Linked DNA regions of Rattus norvegicus. The protein of the gene in region 2 purifies or fractionates together with the protein of the main gene of each other region. This does not show direct contact. Links are inferred from orthologs where the notes say so. Each region holds a gene or a part of one and is shown on either strand. Other genes may lie near its edges. The genes, in order: Ogt and Asxl1.

The links.
Region 1: the proteins of Asxl1 (region 2) and Ogt purify together in Homo sapiens (affinity purification with mass spectrometry; 3 studies listed by BioGRID and IntAct, with this or other methods). This does not show direct contact. The link is inferred for Rattus norvegicus from reciprocal best matches to the Homo sapiens genes ASXL1 and OGT.

What each region holds. Positions count from the first base shown.
Region 1 is NC_086039.1:70,814,235-70,818,055, forward strand, and holds part of Ogt (UDP-N-acetylglucosamine--peptide N-acetylglucosaminyltransferase 110 kDa subunit), read left to right. Parts: intron 1-44; coding exon 45-225; intron 226-1,004; coding exon 1,005-1,248; intron 1,249-3,821. UniProt on the Homo sapiens protein: Catalyzes the transfer of a single N-acetylglucosamine from UDP-GlcNAc to a serine or threonine residue in cytoplasmic and nuclear proteins resulting in their modification with a beta-linked N-acetylglucosamine (O-GlcNAc).
Region 2 is NC_086021.1:162,283,653-162,287,473, reverse strand, and holds part of Asxl1 (ASXL transcriptional regulator 1), read right to left. Parts: intron 2,833-3,821; coding exon 2,724-2,832; intron 1-2,723.

The DNA.
Region 1 (3,821 bases), on a different chromosome or scaffold from region 2:
TTTGTTTCCCCCTCCTTCCCTCAAATGTTTTGATGATTCTCCAGAACCAACGAAACGTATGCTTTCCTTCCAAGGGTTAGCTGAGTTGGCACATCGGGAATATCAGGCAGGAGACTTTGAGGCAGCTGAGAGACACTGCATGCAGCTCTGGAGACAAGAGCCTGACAATACTGGTGTTCTTTTATTACTTTCATCTATACATTTCCAGTGTCGAAGGCTGGACAGGTAGGAGATGTCGGGGTAACCTGCCTCTTGGTGCTGAGTTTAAAAAAACGATAATTAAATATTTGAACTTCACAGATTTTCAATGCTGGGTTTCATCTGAGCCACCAATGCACACAGGCTCTTTTGCTCACGTTTGGCATGCCTAGCTGCTAGTTCTCCTCACCCTCCCACCCCCTCCCCATTTTGCTGGGGCGAGCATATTATCTGTATGACTAGGGTCTTTTCTCCCAGATTCTATCACTTGGGTTATATTCTTTTCAGGTAATTATTCTTAGTGTACATCTGAGCATCCAGACCCGTCAGTTTGAGGGACTCTGGTAGGAGGGGCATATGTAGCAGATTGGAAATAGCCCTCATTAAATTGTTATTGCTTTTAGCTAATTAATTGAATTAATCAAAAGAAGAATTTGTGCTGTGGATCTTTTAATAAATTATCATTTTGGCATACTTAGGCATTTATAGATCTGTGTCTTTAAATCTTGCCAACAAATGGAAAACGAGACATGCACTTTTTTTTTAATCTTAATAATCATGTTATACAATGGCAGTTTGGTAATAGATTCTAATAAGAATTTTCTTACATAAGAATCAGATTTCTTATATGAAATCTTGATACTCTCACCTAAGGAAAGTTTTAGTTTTCAAACTTTTCTCTTGTGTGCTAGTTAAAGGATAATGTTTCATAGTACAGGATGTTCAGGAACTGTTAAGTTGCATATGACCATGCCTCCTTTTCTCTAACACGCATATCCATGCACCAACACTTTCTACTTTTCCAGATCTGCTCACTTTAGCACCTTGGCAATTAAACAGAATCCCCTTCTAGCAGAAGCCTATTCGAATTTGGGAAATGTATACAAGGAAAGAGGGCAATTACAGGAAGCAATTGAGCATTATCGACATGCTTTGCGGCTCAAGCCTGATTTCATTGATGGTTATATTAACCTGGCAGCAGCCTTGGTAGCAGCAGGTGACATGGAGGGAGCAGTGCAAGCATACGTCTCTGCTCTTCAGTACAATCCTGTAAGTAAACATTTCTTAGTTTTCCTTTCACAGCAATCCAGAAAACAAACAAGCATCATTTGATATTTCAGATAATAGTTTTTTTCATGATAGTCAAGAGTTGAGAGAGATGTTTATGTACTTGAAATGATGAAATTGCTTTGACTTGGTCTGCATGACATAAAAAAAAAATCCATCCCATTTAGGAAGTTAAAAAGCATAAAAGTTATCTTTATAAAAAAATTCCATCAATTTTTTTGTAATGCTAATTATAGCTTAAGACACATTTTTGTGTGCTTGGGTGCTGTTTTGATGAACTTTGAGTATTTATAGCAGTTAATTGATTTTTTAAGGAATGATGGGTTAAAGGTCTTAATCTGTAATATAAATTTTTTTTTTCTTTTTTCTTTTTTTCGGAGCTGGGGACTGAACCCAGGGCCTTGCGCTTCCTAGGCAAGCGCTCTACCGCTGAGCTAAATCCCCAACCCCTAAAAATTTTTTGAAGGTACTAGATATTAGTGACATGAAATCTAGACTACCGGGGTTGGGTTGGGGATTTGGCTCAGTGGTAGAGCGCTTGGGCCCTGGGTTTGGTCCCCAGCTCCAAAAAAAAAAAAAAAAAAAAAAGAAATCTAGACTACAAAATGTTCTCAATACATCCACCTCAATATATTTATAAGTAGTAGAATTGGGTAATTGCAGATCTAGACCAGATTTTGAATTAGTTCTTTAATTCTTCTTAAATCTAAAGTCGCATGCGTTTTCGGAGAACAAGTATTAGAGTCTGTGAAAGATCAAAATATAGTGTATGAAACAAAAAAATTAAATTTAAAATGCTACAGGGATGTAAAACTTGCCCCGGAAACTGTTGATGTACTGAAGGGAGAGTGTCTGTAAGCTTTTAAGAGGTAAGTGGTAGGCACAGGGATGGGTCTTGGCAGCATAAACTTGAGGTCTCAAGTTGACATGGAGTGTGGAATCACCCTGGAAGTGCTTAATGATTAACTGGTACAACTGCCATTCTCAAAAGTCTTCTACAGGCTCAGATACTACTGCTTCAGAAAAAGGCCTCAGTGAGTTTTAGCATGATCCTTTGGTGAAGATGGCATTATTTCTAGTTTTGCCAATAATAAAAACCCTAGTAGACTTTGGGTTATGTAACTTTGAGATCACATAGCTAGTTAGCAGTGGTGAAGTGGATGTTGAAATTTGAAGTTGAATTATCAAAGCAAATTTGGACATGAATGAAAAATGAAAGCTAAAAAGCTTAAAAAAAAAAAAGCCTTCTTTGCCCCAAGGCAGCCATTGAGCCCAGCCTGGAAAACATTAGACATAAGAAGCCTGAGTCTTGACTCCAATTTTATAGTTTAGGAAACTGAAGCTTATTTTAGTAGTTTTCCAGATGATCATTTTTTTTTTTTTTTTGGTTCTTTTTTTCGGAGCTGGGGACCGAACCCAGGGCGTTGCGCTTCCTAGGCAAGCGCTCTACCACTGAGCTAAATCCCCAGCCCCCAGATGATCATTTTTTATCTGAATATCTTTTTAGCAATTATTTTTAAAGTTAATTTTGAAAAATAAAAAAATCCTATTTTTATTTCAAAAAGGTAAAAATCACTCTGGAATGGCTCTTTTAACTTTATAGATGTTCTTTGATATGTATAGACTGAGTCAGGGCAAGTGCTCCTTTTAATGGCTACCTTAGTTCAACTACATGGTGCTTTTGTTTGTGAATTCATATATAAAAAGTGCTTTTTATTCATTGCTTTTTTCTAGTGACAAATTGCATAGACTTGGAGACAGTGAAAGTAATTTGTGTGTTCTTTCAAATATTCAGTGTATATTTGAAATTAGAGTGTATTTGTAATTTTTAGTTTTAGACTGCTAACCTTGAATGTCCTCCGTGTGGGGCTTGGACTTGCTTCTTCCTAAGGTACAAGTCTTTTTCTTGTGTGCCCAGTTGTCACAGGATAGTACATTCTTTTCCTTTAGTAATCAGGGTTTCATCAGTCCTTTACTCGTTGACTGTGCAAACTTCAGCTTTGCTCTCTTGCCTCCATAGTTGTAATCTTGGTTAATTTTACTCAGTTAATTTATTTTGAGAGGGGATCTTATGTACGTCATTTGGCCTCCAACTTACTAAATAGCTGAGGATGACCTTGAAAAACTTATTTTCCTGCCCCTGCTTGCCCAGTACTGAGATGGTGCTATATAGTATACCACCATGCCCAGTTTACTGCAGATAGAACCCGGACTTCATTGCACATTAGATAAGTACTTTTCCATCTGAGCTAGATTCCCCAGGACCCTGGCTCAGGTTTTTACTTGCTTGTCTGTGTAATAGAGCAGTTTTAACTTTGCTGACAATATAGTGCAGGATTCTATTGAGAAGGGAAAATTAAAGTGAGAGACAAAGCCATGCTGCTTTCTTTCTTTTTTTTTTTTTCTTTTTCTTTTTTTCCGGAGCTGGGGACCGAACCCAGGGCCTTGCGTTTGCTAGGCAAGCGCTCTACCACTGAGCTAAATCCCCAACCCTGCCATGCTACTTTCTAAATATATGCTATATATAGTTTATATTATTAAATATCTTACCTATT
Region 2 (3,821 bases):
TGTCATCTAATTTGCATTGTGAAAGAGAACACTGCTTGCCAGGCATCTACTAAAACTCAAAATGGACTTTCATACTGCCTTATAAATGACAGTGGTGATGACTTTATCCTATCTAAAATCCAGACTTACTCTATACTCAGTCTTTCCTTTGTATTTAATGATACATCAGTAATTCTGAGCTGCTAATATGGAGTCGAGTTATATAAATTTCGATTGTAGTTCTAACATTGTAAGAATGCAACAATTAAGCCAGCACTTAGGAGCAGAGGCAGGTAGACTCCTCAATTCCAGGCCAGCCTAATCTAGATAGTTTGAGGGCAACTACGGATACAAAGAGAAACCCTGTCTCAAAAAATAAATAAAACAGTATCCCAACCCCAAAAAGAAAGCATCAATTATCTAATTTACCCCCCCCCCTTTGCTTTTTCCTCTAATGAAAACTGCAAGGGAACTGACATTCCCCTCCTAACTGCTCACTGTGTGTTATGCTTGAATACAACTATAGACACACTGTGTTCAGGTGGCCTCGGAGAGGCCAAAGAAGAACCTGTTCTGCGTTATCACTTTCCATGTCATTCTCTCAAGATCCAGTTTCTCATTAATCTTGTAGCAACAAGCCCCAATCATCTTCCTGTCTCTAACCCAACCAAGTGTTGGGGTTAAACAGGCAGACATTCAAGTCACGCTTAGTTTTTTGTATTTTGGTTTTTTTTTTTTAAGAATTATTTATTTTATGTATATGAGCACATTGTCATTCTCTTCAGACTCACCAGAAGTGGGCATCCGATCCCATTAGAGATGGTTGTGAACCACCATGTGGTTGCTGAGAACTGAACTCAGGACCTCTGGAAGAACAGTCAGTGTTCTTAACCGCTGAGCTATCCTCCCCTCCCCACAAATTCTTTGTGAATTTCACATCATGTACCCCAATCCCACTCATTTATTATCCTATTGTACCCACCCTCTGCCCCTGCAATGCCCCCCCCCACCAAGGAAAAAAAAACAAAACAAAACCAAAAAGTATCTCATGGAAGCTATAGTGTACCACACAATAAATCCTTTTGTCCACATAGCTTTATTTGTAAATGTTCAGTTCATTACAGTACGTCATTGGTCTGGTTCGGGGCCTCTGGTCCCTCACCAGGACTCCTCTAGGATATCCTGTTATTGCCCTTGCCCCATGTGAGGTCCTGCAGCTTTGTTTCTGCAGGACCAACTCCTTCACAAGTTTCAACAGTTCGCAGATGGGGAAGATATAGAGATGGGCTAACTCAAAGCTCTGGATCTAGGCCTGGGTGGTAGCTGCTTTAATCAGTCCACCAGCACTCCTGTACCCCATGCCACCAGTCACCAGAGCCAGTTCTTCCACTTTGCCCAGTCAAGACCAGCTTCTATGAGGAGTGGTGCATCTGTCCTATTGCCCACACCACCACACTTCAAATCCCTGAGTGCTAGGGATTTGAACTCCAAACTTCATGATTAAACAACTGCTTTTACCTATTGAGCTATCTCCCCAATTCCCCCAAAAAGGTGCCTTTTTTTTTTTTTTTTTTGGTTCTTTTTTTCGGAGCTGGGGACAGAACCCAGGGCCTTGCGCTTCTTAGGCAAGCGCTCTACCGCTGAGCTAAATCCCCAACTCCAAAAGGTGCTTTTTTAAATGTATGGCTGTGTAAGTACAGTAGTACTCCTTCTTTTAATGCTTTATTATTATTCATTTTATGTGTGCATTCCCTATATGCCCACACACCATATGCACGCCTGGTACCCACGGAGGTCAGAAAAAGGTACTAGAACCCCTGGAACTAAGTTACAGAAGGTTGTGAGGGACCACATAGGTGCTGAGAATCAAGTGCTGGTTCTCTACAAGAGCAGTCAGTGTTCTTAGCCACTGAAGCATCCCTCCAGCCCTTCTTTCTTTGTTTTTCCATATTTGCAACATTGTAAAGCCAGGCATGGTGACAACCCCATGTAATCCCAGTACTAGTATGACAAAAGCACAAGGATCACATGTTTTAGGCCACTTTGAGCAATCAAGAGTTCAAGGCCAGACTATACTACAAAGAAAGTAAGTCTCTAAAAGAAAACTAGTCTATGAAATAGAAGACAAAGCAATAAAAATTACTATACATTACACCTCTTCTTAGAAAAAGTGTGCATGTGCATGAGATGAGAGATGGCTATTTTGACAGAGCCACTAGGTCAACAAAATCTCAATTATTTGTATCAGCCCTTCATACAAGAGTTTTCAGACTGTGATCTAAATGACAGCCAAATATATCAGAAATGGTAGAAAATAATTATTTATTTCAGCAAATAAGGCTTATTATGAACTACTCCTTTATAACTAGTGTTTTAGTATATTCTGATACGCACATTTTGGTTCCTTTCCACAGAGCAGGTACGTTAGTTGCACAGTAATTTTATCCCTGACAGTATTATTACAAACAAAAACCTTACTAAGGCACATCTGTAATTATCACTACACACACATTTCAACTGCATAGAATCTACTAAGCAAAGCTGAACACAGAAACACAGGTGATATAACTTAGTAACTCCTAATAGTCTATAAGACTACAGCATCTCAGAGCACCGTTAAGGACCAAACATTAGTGTTATCTGACTGCATATTAGGAAAGACATCAATCCACCAGCATCATTGCAAACCCACCAGGTTTTATGCACAAAGCTTTGAGGACCATTGCACTGAAAACTAATTTTACCTTGAGTGTGAAAAGACTAATCCGGCCAGGTAATTTATAAAATAGCCCTTCTCCTCCTCTTGAGTTGGAATGTAGCATGGCATTGAGGCACGCGAGGGGGGATGTCCCACTGTAAAAGATGAAAGGAGGGAAATGGATCACAGAAGTTGTGTCTCCTTAGCCAATGTCCAAACACCCTCGAATTCCTTTCCAAACCAAGAAGTGAAGCAATCAAAGCAGAAGCCATGACTGCACAGACGACTATGAGAGCACGGGGAGACGAACAACTCAAGTCCAGTTGTGGTGCACTCAACAGTTCAGAACACGCACCAGCACATCTGTGGGTTTCCTGACAACACAACCAAGCTCTAAAATACTTAGAGACCACTCAGCAGTTAAAGTGCTTGGTATAAGCCAGGTATGGTGGCACAAACCTGTAATTCTAGTATTTAGGAGACCAGAGAGAGGCCGATCTCTGAATTTGAGACCAATCTGGTCTACAGAGTGAAGAAACCTGTCTCCTGTCTTCAAGACAAGAAAAACAAAAAGCAAGAGTCTGCTGGCTGCTTTCACAAAGGACCAGAGTTCGAGTCCCAGCATCCATGCTGGGTGGCTCACAACCTGTTAACAGTGTTAGCTACAAGGAATCCCTATGCCCTCTTCTGGCCTCCAGGGTATCTAAGTATAGACAAATTAAAAATTAAAAAATTTCCAAGTCATATGTTAACAAACGTTAGAGCACCTATCTTAGCCAGGTGCGCTGGTTCATTCATATAACCTCAGCCCTCAAAAAGCTGAGTAAGGGGGTTGGGGATTTAGCTCAGCGGAAGAGCGCTTGCCTAGCGAGCGCAAGGCCCTGGGTTCGGTCCCCAGCTCCGAGAGGGAAAAAAAAAAAAAAAAAGCTGAGTAAGGAGGCCAAAGTCTGAACTTCATAGTTTCAGGCCATATTGGTCTATATTATGAGAATCTGCTCAAAAACTGAAACATAATACAATGTAATAAATTTTACATTGGGCACATACATGTCTTTAATCCCAGAACTCAGGAGATAGAGGCAGGCAGATATTTGAGTTTGAGGCCACCCTGGTCTACAGAGTGAGTTCCAGGATAGCCAGGGCT